4 linked regions of the Coturnix japonica genome follow. The protein of the gene in region 1 binds, or shares a complex with, the protein of each later gene. Links are inferred from orthologs where the notes say so. Each region holds a gene or a part of one and is shown on either strand. Other genes may lie near its edges. The genes, in order: TAB1, OGT, MAPK14 and XIAP.

The links.
Region 2: the proteins of TAB1 (region 1) and OGT are in contact, whole or in part, in a crystal structure (PDB 4AY6), measured with the Homo sapiens proteins. The link is inferred for Coturnix japonica from reciprocal best matches to the Homo sapiens genes TAB1 and OGT. Residues at the interface, in NP_006107.1 of Homo sapiens: Pro389, Val390, Val392, Pro393, Tyr394, Ser396, Ala397, Gln398, Ser399; in NP_858058.1 of Homo sapiens: Asp441, His506, His508, His509, Asn567, His568, Pro569, Gly641, Tyr642, Thr643, Lys644, Ala646, Gln849, Phe878, Pro904, Val905, Ala906, Pro907.
Region 3: the proteins of TAB1 (region 1) and MAPK14 are in contact, whole or in part, in a crystal structure (PDB 4LOP), measured with the Mus musculus proteins. The link is inferred for Coturnix japonica from reciprocal best matches to the Homo sapiens genes TAB1 and MAPK14. Residues at the interface, in NP_079885.2 of Mus musculus: Val385, Tyr386, Pro387, Val388, Ser389, Val390, Pro391, Tyr392, Leu405, Ser406, Leu407, Val408, Met409, Pro410; in NP_036081.1 of Mus musculus: Gly110, Ala111, Asn115, Ile116, Cys119, Gln120, Lys121, Leu122, Thr123, Asp124, Asp125, His126, Phe129, Val158, Asn159, Glu160, Asp161, Cys162, Leu217, Thr218, Gly219, Arg220, Thr221, Leu222, Asn272, Val273, Phe274, Ile275, Gly276, Ala277.
Region 4: the proteins of TAB1 (region 1) and XIAP are in contact, whole or in part, in a crystal structure (PDB 2POP), measured with the Homo sapiens proteins. The link is inferred for Coturnix japonica from reciprocal best matches to the Homo sapiens genes TAB1 and XIAP. Residues at the interface, in NP_006107.1 of Homo sapiens: Glu99, Ala100, Arg103, Thr201, Gln202, Leu203, Glu212, Asp213, Phe216, Arg217, Gln220, Arg241, Glu269, Glu271, Ile272, His273, Ala275, Gln276, Pro277; in NP_001158.2 of Homo sapiens: Phe33, Ala34, Ser38, Gly39, Pro41, Ser43, Ala44, Ser45, Thr46, Arg49, Tyr75, Ser78, Ala79, Val80, Gly81, Arg84, Phe92, Ile93, Gly95, Tyr97, Leu98.

The regions. Positions count from the first base shown.
Region 1 is NC_029516.1:46,232,112-46,236,453, reverse strand, and holds the start of TAB1 (TGF-beta-activated kinase 1 and MAP3K7-binding protein 1), read left to right. Parts: upstream 1-1,533; 5' UTR 1,534-1,632; coding exon 1,633-1,665; intron 1,666-2,252; coding exon 2,253-2,389; intron 2,390-2,552; coding exon 2,553-2,706; intron 2,707-3,334; coding exon 3,335-3,421; intron 3,422-3,964; coding exon 3,965-4,103; intron 4,104-4,342. UniProt on the Homo sapiens protein: Key adapter protein that plays an essential role in JNK and NF-kappa-B activation and proinflammatory cytokines production in response to stimulation with TLRs and cytokines.
Region 2 is NC_029519.1:2,160,092-2,164,410, reverse strand, and holds the start of OGT (UDP-N-acetylglucosamine--peptide N-acetylglucosaminyltransferase 110 kDa subunit), read left to right. Parts: upstream 1-1,508; 5' UTR 1,509-1,641; coding exon 1,642-1,678; intron 1,679-3,250; coding exon 3,251-3,431; intron 3,432-4,319. Other genes in the region: TAF1 (transcription initiation factor TFIID subunit 1), read left to right, coding at 567-783. UniProt on the Homo sapiens protein: Catalyzes the transfer of a single N-acetylglucosamine from UDP-GlcNAc to a serine or threonine residue in cytoplasmic and nuclear proteins resulting in their modification with a beta-linked N-acetylglucosamine (O-GlcNAc).
Region 3 is NC_029541.1:528,260-531,819, forward strand, and holds part of MAPK14 (mitogen-activated protein kinase 14), read left to right. Parts: intron 1-191; coding exon 192-321; intron 322-3,306; coding exon 3,307-3,365; intron 3,366-3,560. UniProt on the Homo sapiens protein: Serine/threonine kinase which acts as an essential component of the MAP kinase signal transduction pathway.
Region 4 is NC_029519.1:14,631,811-14,635,370, reverse strand, and holds part of XIAP (E3 ubiquitin-protein ligase XIAP), read left to right. Parts: coding exon 1-151; intron 152-1,868; coding exon 1,869-1,968; intron 1,969-2,884; coding exon 2,885-2,963; intron 2,964-3,494; coding exon 3,495-3,528; intron 3,529-3,560.

The sequences.
Region 1 (4,342 bases):
TGCAGACAGACTTAAATGGCTGCCCTTATTGAGAGAGATGTTTCAGGAGGTTCTAAGAGTGGCTTGTTCTGCTTGGCTTGTTTGAAATCACACCTACCATCAAGTGTCTCTTACCTTATCAAGAGGAAAACATGAGAAGGATCTTGAAGTACTATATTAGGGGTTATTGTGAAATGGCTATAGTCACAGAAGGTGAAGATGGGGAATATGAAAGAATATGGAATAAACATCACTATTTTCACACCCAGGGAAGAAGATCTGTTTATTAGTTTGATGTGTCTTCTATTTATCTCTGTGTGACCATTGCTTGGGTGTCTAGCATAGCACACGTTTTCAAAACATAATCAAGTACTGGGAAACAAGAGCCCTCAAGATACTGCTGACTGGGTTTCAGTAATAGATAGCTCAACACTGAGGAGGATATCATTGCAATTTCCTCCGTGACAAGATTCAAAATAATGTTTTTCAGCAGTGCTTCGATAGAGCTTCCTTCTCATCCCCTTTTAATGCACCTGTCGCCTGAGTACCCAGGTATCTAACGTGCCAACCCTTGTGTAGCCTGAGGACGATAAGCACAAGTACATGATGGTCAACTGGCAGCATCAAGTCCTCTGGACTGTCTTCCATCTTGGGTACACACTGTAGCTGCACCTAAGCATATACCTAAATGTACTGATATACCTACCCATCCCTTCTTTCTTTGGACAAAGACCCCTTCCTTCCTACAGTCCTATAGAGATGCCATGCCCCTAGAAAGTCAGATGTCTTGGCAACAGGACAAGTTAAAAACTGATGAGGCCAAATGTTGCCAGAACCAAGCCTAAAGCTCTGCCCAAAATCTATTCTGCAGTGACAGCTCTCTCTCTACTGTGAGGGTGTCTCTGAATGCCTACAACAGCACCGTGATGGGGGCTGCATTATGCTCCCTGCTCTCCACAGCATATTGTTCAATAATGTTTGTTCATCTTTTATCTGCTAGCCCAGCAGGGTGACCAGTGGAATGCTTCTTCCCTTTCTGCAGAGGAAACATATGAACAAACAGGAAGGCAGTAGCGCAGCTTGGCACTAGAAATACTGTGCATATAATCCCTGGCACTGGGACCAGGGAAGCACGAGAAACAGTAAGTACAAAGAGGCAGAGAGAGAGAGAGAAGGAAAATAAAACAGGATGGCAATGGTCAGTGACCATGAGCTGCAGCCAGACAAATTAGGAACAGGACAAACATGCAGACTCCAATCGTTAGTCTCAGAAGGACACACTTAACAATATACGAGCACAGCAATGACTTGTAACTCCTCCTCTCATAAGGAGAGTCGCTGCAGGCTGCCCAAGGAGGTGGTGCAGTCACTGTCCATGGAGGTGTTCCAGAGCCGCGTGGATGTGGCACTGAGGGACTAGGGCAGGGGACATGGTGGGGATGGGCCGGTGGCTGCACCAAGGGATCTCAGAGTGATCCTCGCCGCCTCCTCATTGGGCGGAGTGACGGAAGGGGGCGTTGGCTGCGAGCGCTGCTCTCTGCGTGTGGGAAAGAGGGCGGGGCTGTGAGTGGCGGCCTCTCTGCCCGGCAGATTTGTCTGCTCTGGAGGGAGAAGGGCGGGTAGGAGGGAGGAGGCCGCTGCTGCTGCTGCAAGATGGCGGCGCAGAGGAGGAGTCTGCTGCAGAGTGTGAGTGGAGCCGTTCCCCCCCCCTTCCCCCTCCCCCTCCTCGCTCGCGCACCCCCTTAGGTGTGTGTGAGGAGGGACCCGCGCCTCCTCCTCGCTCTCCTGCCCGGGCAAGGGGAGATGCCCGCCGTGAGGGGAGGTGGGTGTCCCCCGTTCCGTGCTGCAGCAGGGCCGGCCCGCAGCGCTGTGTGGGGCTTTGGGCCCTTGCCTGAGGGGTGAGGGTCAGCCGTAGTGGGTAGGCCCGTGTGGGCACAGGGACCCTCCGTCGGTGTTGGCCGCCCCGCGGACCCGTTTTCTTAGCGGGGACCCCAGGTGTGAGGGTCCCATCCACTAAACTCACTATTAGTGCTGTGTATCAAGCTTGGGTGCAAGTCTCAGTTCTGGTTTCTTGTTGGAAAGAGCTGGGCATGCAACCAGAGCTCAGCTTCAGAGGGAAAGCAAGGGGTAAGTGATGCAGCTCTGCTGCAGGGATCATGAAGTTCTCTGGGAGGTGCTCTGCCCTGTTAGTGAGAGGGTGGGAATTAACCTGTAGCTCATCCTGAAGCAGCATTCTCACATCAGCCTTTACATGACCTCTTTCTGTCTCCCAGGAACAGCAGCCCAGCTGGACAGATGACCTACCATCCTGCCATCTCTCTGGGGTGGGCTCGGCTCCAAACCGTTCTTACAGTGCAGATGGCAAAGGTACAGAGGGTCACCCCTTGGAAGATAACTGGTTGAAATTCAGGTAAGTTGATTGTGCCTGGGTCACAGACTCCTTTACCTGCTTCTGTCTGCAGGTGATATTTAGCCTTTCACTGAGGACTCAGAGCATACAGGATTCTGGGGAAACCTGTTATGTCTGTCCTTGTATCACAGGCATCTGTGACTTCTTTTGCCTTCTCTGATAGGAGTGAGAACAACTGCTACCTCTATGGTGTCTTCAATGGCTACGATGGCAACCGAGTCACCAACTTTGTGGGCCAGAGGCTGTCTGCAGAACTGCTGCTGGGCCAGCTGCATGCAGATCACAGTGATGCTGATGTTCGCCGAGTTCTGCTGCAGGTAAAGCACCTTTAACTGGGAACAGCTCCTACTTCTCACACTACCTACCTCCTCCTTTTGCCACCAGAGAGCAGCATCTGGTTCTGAGGGGGTTGAAACATCTGCCAGTGGTTGTGCTTGCACTCATCCTGAGCAGCTGCAGTGCTTTGTTTCACTCCCACCTCGCACCCGTCTGTTCCCCTGGCTGTCAATGTGCTGCTGACAGCTCTCCAGGAATCTGCAGCCAGCCTTCACTGGACATGTAGGAGCAAGTCAGCCTGAGAAGGAGATGACAGGGAGTGAAAGGGAGAAATTAAGGCGTGGGGGGATGCATGTGCAAGATCACTTTCTTGAGTAATGGATGAGTATTTTTACAATCAACATACAAAATCAGATAGGTCTCTGATGTTGCTGTGTTTGTAATTTGTGTGTTTTGTCTCCTGTTTTGAGCACTAGCAGATTGCTTTCACAAGCTGTTAACTAGCTGCACTAAAATAATTGCATTTCAGTATGATGCTGTGATCCTTCAATATCTCTATGAACTGTAATCAACTGCTCTTATGAACTAGTCTTAGGAGATGGGGGTGGGTAGCTTCAAAGTTCCCTAGGTACTGGATAAGAGCTCGCTTTCTCTTATGATCCTTTTTAGGCTTTTGATGTGGTAGAAAGAAGTTTCCTGGAGTCCATTGATGATGCTTTGGCAGAAAAGGCCAGCCTGCAGTCCCAGCTGCCAGAGGTAATGTAGCCTTAAGGACAGAAGTTGCTGGAGCTCCCACCTTCCAGACTACTGGATGGGATGCTGATCAGCATTGTCCAAAGGAGGCTGTAATTGAAATCTATGTTTCTGTAGCTTTCATCTGGGAGCTAGTGTGAAATGAATGAAGTGCCGTGGTCTGTTCTGCACTGGTGCTACTTAGACCTATGATTGTTTTATTTAGTAAAGAACTAAAGGTGCTGTGGGAAGGTCCTCAGCCCTGTACTTACAGCTCTTCCAGGACAAAGTCATATGATGTGGATGGTAGGCAAGGCCTCAGATTTGCATGACACATGGGCAGATATGAATTCTGGTCTTGAGGTGGATTAGAGTGTCATCTCCAGAATCTTATCAAACCCATGTGGTTTATTGGGATTGAACAAATAATTGTATGACTTGCACATCTTGGCCTCAAGGCAAGACTGTCAAGATGAGTCCTCTTTCTTTATGCAAGTGTTGACTGTAGCTGTGGTTTCATTGTTGTGGACTGAGTGTTTAAGCCTCCCCCATAATCTCGGATTCCAGGGTGTTCCTCATCACCAGCTGCCTCCTCAATACCAGAAGATCGTGGAGAGATTGAAAGTTGTAGAGCAGGAGATCTCTGGAGGAGCCATGGCCATCGTGGCTGTTGTTCTCAACAATAAGCTCTATATCGCCAATGTTGGTGAGTTTTTCTTTGCTAGTATCCTGGTTAAGGTGCTTGTGAGCATGGCTGAAGTTCTAGGAAGCAGAAGCAATTTGAATGCTGGGGAGGGTTTCTCTCGTCAAGGAGTGATTTCCTTGTTACTTTTGGGACTGATAGATCAGTCTTAAAGGTCATATCTCTGCAGATATTGGCGGATACAATGTTTATGACCAAAGAAAAGGGGAAAATGAGTTGAGAGGTAGTGGAGATTCAGTGGG
Region 2 (4,319 bases), on another chromosome or scaffold:
GGTATCCTTGTAAGTTAAATTAATTTCCCTTTGCATAGTGGTTTCTGAAGGCAATACAAATACAGCTTGTAATAGATCATCTCAGAAATGAAGCTGACTTTGAAGTTAAAGATGATTTGGCTGATTAACTTGAAACGTGGGTACTCAGTACTGCTACTGTCTGCCTAAACAAGTTGTACAGGCAAATTCTGCCCAAGCAGAGGTGATGAAAACCTCCCTGTAAGAGGGGCTGTGCTGGGTGGGGTGAATGGTCTGCCCAGCCCAGTGCCTCAGCAACTGGCTGTGTGGATGGGCTGTGCTCTGATGGTGGTTGTTGCACCGTCTGCCTTTCTATCTGCAGTGAAGGAGGCAGATAGAAGCAATCAGTTGCTTTTCCTGCCCTGAGTACATCCAGGACAGAGCAAAGGTGCTGGCAGTGTGTTGGTTCAGGAGAGCTGGGTTTTTGCTTTACACAGCTGACAGCATGGAAGCGCACAGTGGTTCCGAGTTGTTCCTCAAGGATCTCAAGGACCTTTTACAGGAGCTCACTGTGACAGAATATGAGCATACTTGTTTGTTTTTCCTAGTTACGGCAGCTACGAAGAGCCAGACCCGAAGTCCAACACAAGGGATACGAGCTTCAGCAGCATCGGGGGGTATGAGATCTCCGAGGAGGAGGAAGAAGAAGAAGAGCAGCGTTGTGGACCGAGCGTGTTGAGCCAGGTGCACCTGTCTGAGGACGAGGAGGACAGCGAGGATTTCCACTCCATTGCAGGGGACAGTGACCTGGACTCGGATGAATGACCTCCTGAGCGCTCCTTGTCCCTGCACTGACTGCTGCATGAGCTGCTCTCAGCTCTGTGCTTTCTGATGGCCCACATGGATCCGAGGAGCAGCGCTGGTGCTGCGTTAACACTGTGCTAACGAGGAGCAGCCTGCTCATACAGCGTTGCATATGATGTGAATATTGTTTGAATCAGCTGTAAAACACGAGACTGAGGGCACGGTGCGCAGTGGGGGGGTGGCCTTTATTGTCTCTGGAATCCCACTGAAGACTGTTAGTTCTTCATTTTAACAGATGTCAAATCGTTTCTGTTGGATCCGTCTGGGGAAGAGGAAGGCTGCTCGGAATAAAGCACCGTGCGCTTTGTATGATAGCTCAGAGAGCGGTTCTTTATGGCTGGGAGGTGAGCTTAGCCTTCCAGCCCCCTGCAGCGAGCAGCCGCCCCGTGTGTTAATGCTAAATACTAATTAATTCCAGTCCCCCCTTCATCCCCCCGACCCAGCACGGCCGGGCTGCACGTGCCGGTGGAGGCGACCAGCGGCGCATGCGCAGTGCGGCGGCGTTTGTCGCAATGTGTCGGCGCGGAGCGATCTCTCAGCTGACAGAGCTGCGCTGCGGCTCCGTGTGATACACATGGAGGGGGCGCTCGGCGGAAGGAGACGGCTGTAGTTCCGCTGTATCACTCCGCCGCTCGGCGCCCCGCGGGCTGGCTCCGCCCGGACTATTTGTCGCGGGGATGTAGGTCCGGCCGCAGCCATTCGATCGACGCCGCCTCCGCCAGCGCCATTTCGGGAGCCGCCGCCTCAGCGTGCCGGCAGCGCGGGCAGCTCTGTCGTTCTCCGCCTCCTCAGCCCGGCGCCCCGCCGGCCCCTGTCCCGATGGCGACCTCCGTGGGGAACGTGGCCGACAGCACAGGTACCGCCGGGCTCGGTGCGCTCCGCGGGTGCCGCTCCCGGCGGAACTTTCCAGAAGCGGCCGCGTGGGCCCGGGCCGGGCCGCGTGTTGGAGGCGCTGTATTTGTCCGTCAGCCGCAGCGGGGCAGGGCGGACAACGGGCCCGAAATAAACGGCGCTGCCACGGGGGCGGCCGGGGGGGAAGGGGCGGCGCGGAGCGGAGCGGTGTGGGGATGTGGGTACGGGAACGGGCGCTGTGCTGGGGGCCGGGCCGCTGCGCTGCGGGAGCACCAAGGTCACCGCTAACAGCCCCCAGTCAGCGCTGCTCCACGGCCTGCACTGCGGCCCGGCGCTATGCAGCTCCGTTAGAACAGGGGTAGATAACTGGCAGGAATGCTGGACCGTGAGGATGGGGAGACACTGGTTCATGTTGCCCGACAAGGATGTGAACGCCCTCTGCCATGCAGCACTCAGGGCCGGGTTGGGTGGATGGGGCTGTGAGCAACCCGGGCTAGAGGGGGGGGGGGTGTCCCTGCTATAGCAAAGGGTTGGGACTACGTGATCTTAAAGGCTCCTTCCAACCCAAACCATTGTGTGATTCGTTACAGCAGAGATGTGGAATTCCGTAGGGCCAGATAGGAAGTGCTGGACGAATGGGGCCCAGTGCACGCAGAGCGCTGGGAGCGTTGCCCTTCCCTGCCCTGAGCTTAGGAGGGGAAAATAAGAGGTGCTTGCAGTACTCAGGGCTTTTAACAGCAGGTCCGAGTGGTGTAAAGGCACCGCCTGAAGGGCTGCTCTTTCTCTATTCTAATGCAGAACAGTCCGGTAACGACTGGGTGCTCACATGGGTTGTTTTGTTTGAGCCCGGTGTTTGATGGAAGTAGTTTGTCTCCCCCCCCGTTGCAGCCCAGCCCCGGGAGCTCGCTGCTCTTCCATCAGATAGCATTCAGCCGCTTTGCCAATGGAGGAATTGTTATGCGTGGCAGATAACGCCGGCGGAGTGGAGATTTAAAGGAACGCTGCGCATTACGCCTTTTTCTTTAAGGGCTTTCACAAGATACGGATCTACTGGCACAGCAGAACTTCCTTTAGTTCGAGTCCTTTGAAGTTTGTGTCTGTGGTCCTGCATTTCCCTGTGAGGTTTTTAGTGCTTTTCAGAGCTAGGAAGTGTTACATGCCCGGTCTGGGGATGGGGGGGAGGGGGCAAGGAAATTCATTGTCTGGCTCTGCTGCCTGTATGAGCCCAAGTAACTGCTTTACAGTAGGATTATCTTAACTGCATTCCGTTAACTTGAAAAATACATGAAGTTGTGTAACCGTAATGGCTGTTTTTGTTTCTAAACTGTTAACTGGTGAAATCCCACAGCAGCAGCTTGGGGCCTGAAGATGTGAGAGCACAAACCTCCACCTGCTGCGTTGTTTTGTGTCATCCCAATCGTTTTCATCCTTTAGTTTTATACGCCGTTTCTTTTTTGGTTTGGTTTGGTTTTGGTTGGTGTTTTATTTTCGTTTAGTTTCTGTTTGGTTTCTTTGGTTTGGTTTCCATTCTCTAACTTTTTGTTTTCCCCCCTTGAATGTTTTGGTGATTCTCCAGAACCAACGAAACGTATGCTTTCCTTCCAAGGGTTAGCGGAGTTGGCTCATCGTGAGTATCAGGCAGGAGACTTTGAAGCAGCAGAGAGACACTGCATGCAGCTTTGGAGACAAGAGCCTGATAATACTGGTGTGCTTTTATTGCTATCGTCTATTCACTTCCAGTGTCGCAGATTGGACAGGTAGGATGGAGATGTTGCGTTCAAGCTTCTTTTGGAGTTTGTGCTCCTCATAGTATCGAGCACAGTTAATAGAAGTGCTTATCTGACATTGGCTTTAGAACTGAATGCAGATGCTGACTTGATTCTAGCAGTAATGACTGGCCAGAAATAATGTTCTTGTTTCTTGAGTTCTTTTAGGGTAAGAGGAATACAAGTGGGAGTTGCTAGCTTTGCAGCAAGCATCAGATAGTGCTGTTACTCTCATGCCGTTTTCGTATTGTATGCTTGCATGCCCCTGAGTTATTTGCACATGCAAACAAGGAGCTTTCATGTATTCCACCTGCAGTGTGCGTTTAATACTTTAAGTTCTGAGTTTGATTGTTTACAGTGAGATGGCATTGCTTAATTAAGAGTTGTCACTGCTGCTTCTGCCTGCCTCTCCCTGACCTTGTGTCTGTCAAGCCTCTGGGACTTTAAATGTCTGTGCTGGTGAAGGAAGTAATGACTTGTAACTGGGATTTACTCTGTAGGCTTCTGATTGAAGCTGTAGTAATAATTTAGATGGGGGAAAATGAAACAGAGGAGAGCAAGACAGAACTTTAAACCTATGCTTGTCTGCTGTATTCTGTTTCTGAAAGACTGTAAGTGAAACACTGCATAGAAAAAAGCATGCAAATGTTTGAAGAGGCTTAACAGAGTATTTGTGATGGTTTCTCAATCCACGTAGAGCTCAGGTTTGAGGAGGAGACTTGAATCCTGCTGATTGAGCTGGGTTGTCTTTCTCAGTAGAACCTGCAGTGGGGACAGGGGAGGTGGTTAAACAAGGAGAAGCTACATGTAAGGTAGCTCTGTAAGCCCACGTATGTTGGCTGTATGTTTGCTTTGCTTAAGCATGAATGTATATCAAAC
Region 3 (3,560 bases), on another chromosome or scaffold:
TTATATCTGTGTGTGGGAATTTGCAGCCAGGTTGCAGGCCAGGAAGCCTGGATGTTATTGGTGGTGGAGAGGGAGAAATGGAATCGGCTGTGTGACTCAGTGCCTGCGCAGCCTCTATTTGTAGTTGCTAAATGGATTTGAGGGTGTTTATAAGTGATTCATTTTGACTATTTGATTACTCTTTGTTGTAGTTCTGCCTTTGACACAAAAACTGGGTTGCGAGTGGCTGTAAAGAAGCTGTCCCGACCATTTCAGTCTATCATCCATGCCAAAAGGACCTACCGAGAGCTACGGCTACTGAAGCACATGAAACATGAAAATGTAAGTAGAAGGAGATTATATGAGAAGCTGGGCTACCTGGTGTGATTGCATTCCAGGCTGATTGCACAGGTTTTTCAGATAGTAAGTACATAGCTTGCAGTAGACAGTGAATCGTGATGGAAGGCTTTCTTTCTTGCTTTGTGTCATCATGTCAGAAAGGGTTGGAGCAGTTGTTCACTAGATTCCTGTAGATGAACAGGAATAAAAAAGGGGAGGGGAAGATATCAGACATCTGTTCTTGTAAGCCATCCATTTCAACAACACAGACCATGAATGCTTATACTAAGCTATGCTATATGCTGTCTAATCATTTTTTTCTGTTTAACTTCCATTTGCTGTGGAAACCACTTGAGCAGTTCTTTGTGTTTGTGGCATTAACACACTGGTATATTTATATCGCATGCTGTTCAGAGAAAATATTGCCTGCAATTGAGCAAAAATTATCTTGCCTTCTTTAGAGCTGTCAACATCAAGAGAAAAGGAAGGCTCTTAATTTTTGTACAAGTGAACTCCAATGTAGCAGAAGGGAAATACTGATTTAGAAGTGGACTGAGCAAGCCTAGTGTTTTTAACGCAACAAGCAAGCCCAATTTTGATGGGAGCTTCTCCCTGAATGGTCGGATCAGAACTTCTTTTGTGGCAGTGGTGGTTTTGTGCCGTGGCTTCTTTCTGCCACAGCAAGCAGATGGTATTGCTTGAATCTTGTTTGTGTTGACAGTGTGGCTGATGTAATTGGACCTTTTGGTGCACGCGCAGCCTGAACTCAGCAGTACTTCCTCAGTGCCTCTATGTGATGCTGTTATCTGAGTAACAGAGGCAGCCATCCATCGATCCTGCTTAATATCCATCCCCCTGAGGTTTTTTTTTTTCTCTACCTTTTCTCATACCAGAAATATATTCAAAGCTTTGCTCTGGAACTGTTTGGAGAATGTGTTTAGATGTATCTCTGCATCAGCACATTGATCCATTCTGTCTGAGCTAATTGGGTTAGATTTCTATGATTCTATGGTTCCACAGTGGGAATTAGCCTGGTGCTACAGCAGCTCTGTGTCTGGTGTTCATTAATACTTTTGAATAGTGTCGTGAAGTGCATGTGTAGCTTTGAGAGTAGGAGATAAGATTATATTGTTAGAATTTTTTTGTATATAGAAGTGTTTACTGTCAGTTCATCATACTGCTGTCTGTGGGATTTTTATCTGGGTGTGGTTTAAAATCTTGCAGATGTGAAGATGCTCAGAGCCAGTTCAGGTAGGCTGGTTAGTTCAAGCGAGCTGTCTATTCAGATCTCAGTTTGGAAGTAAAATACCCTGCTTTACATGACGTAGAACACTTCAGCAAATGTGGTAGGTACAATGTTTCAAGGATCTTGAGCAGGGATGGTTTTCTGTTCTATATCTAGACTGATTGTGTTGATCTTGAACAAATAAATCGGCCTGTGGAGCAGTCAAGCATGGTTCTGTTATATGTTCAGGCTCCAGGAGGCCTCATTAGCTTACATAAGGCAGAATACTGAGCAGGTGTGAGAGTCAACTTTAGTGTTGTATGAAGAAGTTAACAACCTAAAATTGAAGGGGAGTGCAGAAATTCAGGAGCTGATTCTTGGTCTGGGGATGACCAGTATGGTTAGAACTGTCAGTGTTGTGCTACAGAGTAATTGCATTTGTGTGTGAAACTAGTCAGTGAGAAATATATGGATAGTTCAGTAGTGTGCTTTACACTGTAGCAAGATGGAAATGGTAAGGGAGGAAATGGAAATCTTGGTAACAAGGTCAGTTTTTGGTTTTTTTTTACTGCTAAACTGGGAGGATAATGTTGCATAATTTTTGTAAACGTTGGCATGGAGAAGTCCACAGAGCAAAGAAAGCATAGGAGTTATTTTGAAGCATGGATGTTAATGGTAAAAGGTTGATTTTGTCATCCTTAACAATTGCAATTGATGGTATTAATATGTGCTGAAAGGGAACGTTGGCATCCAACACTTTGTTTAATATGTATGTTTGAACCACTGCTGAAGTTACTGAAATGTGTGTGATGCGAATGAATCCAAGGCAGGTGAGATGCAAGCCTAAAATAGGAGGAAGGAGTCTGTACCTTTATTTCATAATCCTAAGTAATGCTGTGCTGTTAAGAGAAGGATAATTTTTAAAAGCAAATCTCAGTGGAAATTCAAACAATTTTATGGACCAGATGGATTGTTTTCCAAATGAAATGTCCATGACCTATTCCTTATTGCCTACAGAGTGATGAGGTATAATTGTGCATTTCCATGAGGTAACACATACGTTCCCTTTTGCTCTCCACTGCTGGAACAGCTTAGCTGTGAAAATGAGGGGTAGAGTGGAGACTCTTAGGGCAGCAGATATAAATGGCAGTGTGAAGCTCTCAGCTCTTAGTGAAATTTGGCTCTGTGATGCAGCATGCTGTTTTTGAGACTCATTTCACTTCTTATTTTCCAGTGTAGACATTATTTGTTGCTTTCAGCAGAGATTATTGGTGGTTTCCTTCCTCTAGCTATTACTCAGTGCGAGTGAAAAAAAGTCTCCTGCTGCTGATCTAGTATATAGTCAACAGCACAACTAAGAACCTAGCAGGAAGCAAACTGATTTCTGCCTCGTGTTTGCTCATCCATTTATTTACTCACCAAACTTCAGCTGGGTTTTAAATAAGGTATTTTTAACCAGTGCTGACACTTGCCTTTTATTGCCTTGGCTTGCTGTGGCTCCTGCTTGATGTTGTAAGTAGATGGTTGGTGTAAAAGACAGCTGTATATTTTGACTATCTTTTTTTTTTTTTTTTTTTTACTTAGTATTTGAATGCTTGTTTCTGACCTTGTACAAATACTCATTTGCTTACATCCAAATGATTCATATAGTTGGAAATGAAACATCTGTTGGAAGGAGTAGTTTCTGTTCCACAAAGGACCTTACTGACTGTATCATTCAGATGATTAATGTTTTTCGTGACTTTTTCACTTTGTTTTTCCAGGTGATCGGCTTGCTGGATGTGTTCACCCCTGCCAAGTCTCTGGAAGAATTCAATGATGTGTAGGTAACTTCTCTGGAGATTGCAAGAAAAGTCTTTTGCATCTCCCTTCCTTTCCCAGGCTATTGTAGGAATTTTGCTGCCTTGATTTGTCATTATTTTGAATCAGCTGTGAAATTCAGCACAAATTACTGGGATGCCCCATGCTAATGGACTCTTCCAGCTTGTTTTATTGGCCAGTGCTGTGGGAATTAGCG
Region 4 (3,560 bases), on another chromosome or scaffold:
TGTACAGAGCTTGGGAGAAGCTGTCTAAGCAACGAACAGCATCCAAGGAATCCATCCATGGTAGAATATGAGAGGCGGATACAAACGTTTTTAACTTGGATATACCCTGTTAACAAGGAACATCTTGCTGAAGCAGGGTTCTATAGCACAGGTAAGATAGACCCCCAAATGGCGATTACATCTTACAAATAAATGTTGTGCAAATATGTTTTATAATGAAAAATATAAGCACTTTCCTATTCTAATGCAGAACGGTTTGCCAGACTTTTAGTAGAACTGGTATTCATTCTGCTTTCCTTTACAAACTACTTCTTGTGTTTCTCTTGCATGATTACAGCCACCCTATGAGAATGTTTCTTAGCACAATATCAAATTGTCAGGTTTGTTTGTTTGCTTTGTTAGCAGCAGAGCATCAAAATAAGTTTTCCTTACCTGCTAAAACCCTCCTAATGTATCTTTTACAATAGCAATAACTGAAGCAAATAGTTTTAAAAAATGAAGTGCTGTCCTCCAGATAAACACCTCAGGTCTAAAGAGCAACTGTGTAGCTCTGAAGCTTCTGAACCAAGACAGTGCAGGTTATATGCCATTTTAATTAGTTAATGTGTTTACATTATCATGGCATCCAGACAACCAAAAAAAGCAAGTGCCATTATTACCTAATGTAAAAGCTTTATGAAGACGAGGACTCTACTGGAAGAGATTTTACTATTAGGAATCCAGTGTATCATCTGGATAAGGCTCTAATATCGTTGTGCATTGCTTTTTCAATCTGGAGAAGGCAAATAATTCCTTATTGAATTGTGTGGTGCAGATAAAGCTCTTTGAAATTCTTTACTGAGAGATGCTGTGCAAAGTTGTGCTATTATTAGGTCACAAAGAAAAGGGGATTATCCAGGATAATTTCTTGCTCTCATCTTAATTGGCTTCTCCCTTAGTAGCTCCCAGAAGAGCTTTTTAATCTGATACCATTTGCTTTGCTTGTGGCCATAAATAAAACTCTTGATATATTCTTACATAAGTGGAACACAGGTAATATTTGTACTCAATAGAATTGTTTTATTAGTTCCATCTTGGACTCCTGACAGTAAGTAGCTTACCTTGGCCAAGAGAGATCTATACTGTGAAGGTGAACTGAACAGGCAGTTTAAGAGACCAAAAGGCTCTTTAAACGGCTTTGCATTTCTGGTAGGCTGAGACAGAGTTAGTTTTGGTGAAAAACAAACAAACAAAAGTACCCCCTCCCTCTTATTTCAGTCAGCACAGAGTCTGAGAGAGTTCTGGTGCAGTCTTTGATGGGGGTAGGCACAGTGCTAGTGCTGAAGGAATGCTATTTCTTCAGAAATTGCCATCAGTTATGCTGCTTCTATGTAGAACCCATTAATTTTAATGGTGAAATGAAGGAGCAAAGAACACTCTTTTGAATGAAATTCCTATTAGTAATTTCTATTCTTGCTTTACTGTTACTTGAATAGAAAACAGAACTGTGGTCATGAGGACAAACAGATAAAGTTGTGTCAGTTCCTTTCCAAATAAACTTTTTGTGGTAATGACTTAATGGCCTGTTTATCAGAGGGATGCACTATCTGATAATAGACTCTTTTTAGCATTTGCTTTTTAATTACTTGCTATATCAGAATTCTCAAATATTGTATGTGACTCTATTTTATGTGACTTTAAGGTCAACTTTTTTTTTTTTCCTGAACGTTTGTTTCAGATCATGTTTATTATACTCTTATACGGATTATTTTCCAATTACAATTTCCACTCAGTAATATAAATGTTTGTTGTTTGTAATAATGTAGTGCTTCAGCTAAGAACTCCTTGTCAGTGCATACTAAAAATATGTAACTTGGGTGTTTGCTAAGGTAATGGTGATCATGTTGTGTGCTTCCACTGCGGTGGAGGATTGCAAGAATGGAAGGAAAATGAAGACCCATGGGATCAACATGCCAAGTGGTTTCCTGGGTAAGGTATTTTTTTTACAGTTTTCTTTTGACACTTCATAGAACTGTAGAATCCCTGGAGTTGGAAGGGACCTTTAAGGGTCATCTAGTCCAGTGCCCCTGCAATAAACAGGGCTGTGCACATCTGAGTTGTCTTCATAGTATTTTGTTTTTATGACAGAGCCTACTAGTAAGGTCTTTAGAAATCTGACTGTGACTTTGATGCTGTTTCTATTTATGACAGTGGAGGGTTTCTTTTTGTTAGCACATCCACATTGGTGGCAGTGTTTCAGATTCTCACAATATGCTACATAGATGATTCCAAAATTAATGTCTCATTTATTTACAGGGAAACTACAACAGATGCAAAAAGCACAATTGCACTGTCTGATAGAGCAAATTCTCAGCTATAAAGCATTATTTTTCAGCATAGTCACCACAGCTAGGTATGTGTTTTCACCAGCAATGAACAAGAATCTATTTGCCATGCTCATATAAATAAATAAAATCTGCCCCAGCTACTGCCCAGTAGCTTGGACTGGTTGGAAAATAACAAAACACAAAGCATCTGCATTACCAGTTGCTGCTTTTCTGTGATTACAAACTACTTAAAGAACCAGTGTTTTGACATGATGTTAGTTATTCATTAATTCATTGGAGTTTTTTACTACTATAAACATGTAGCATGAGGTGACATGGCCAACAGTTCCTTAGCTTCCTGTTTCACCAAATCTGCAACACATAATTACTGCTGAAGCAATTAATAACTTTTTAGAAGCACTTAGGTGATATTACTGATGTTGATTGTTCATTTTGAAGTTTGGGAAGCAAGCATTCTATGTGAGGTAGGAATTGTATCAAACCTTTATGAAGTTACAATATCAACTTCTGTTTGCTGCTTATGTAGTTATATGATAACTAAATATTTTTGTTTATAGGTGCAAGTTCTTGAGAGAGGAAAAGGGAATAGAATTTATTAATAATGTTCACTTAAGAGATGGATGTAGGGATTCAACAGTAAGTGTCTTCTTATTGATTAAATATTTTACTGAAGTAGAAAACAATCATAACCTAATTTTCGTATGAAGTCAATCTTCTGATCATCTGCATAACTTTTTAGTCTTCCTGCTGCTTCTTTCCTTGGCAGAAAGTAAAAAAACATTGAAGTATGTTTTGATTCTGCTATTTGAGCTTCATAGATTGTACAGTTGTCCCTACTTAGATAATGAATGCCAGCTTGGGTGCCTTGTGGGTTGTTATATATTCCATACTGAAATGCTAATCCTTGTAGGCTGGGAACCAAGAGCCACGTACATATTATTGCACCAGAAAAGTGTTAAAATGAAAATGTAACAAAGTCTGAATGCCATAACAAAGTATGAATCCCTTTGCCAATGTTTAGAGCAGAGAAAATCTGCTCTAACTATAGTAGTTTTACTCAATAAAATAACTGAGGTCAAATAGCTATTTTGTGTCTTATAACTGTATAGGTCTCCTCGTACTCATTCCAGAATTGTAATTTTTTTCATCTTTCTATTTATTTTTTAGATAGAAGCTGCTGAAGTTTCAATACTTCCTGAAGGTATATAGTAAAAATAACAATAATAATAATAA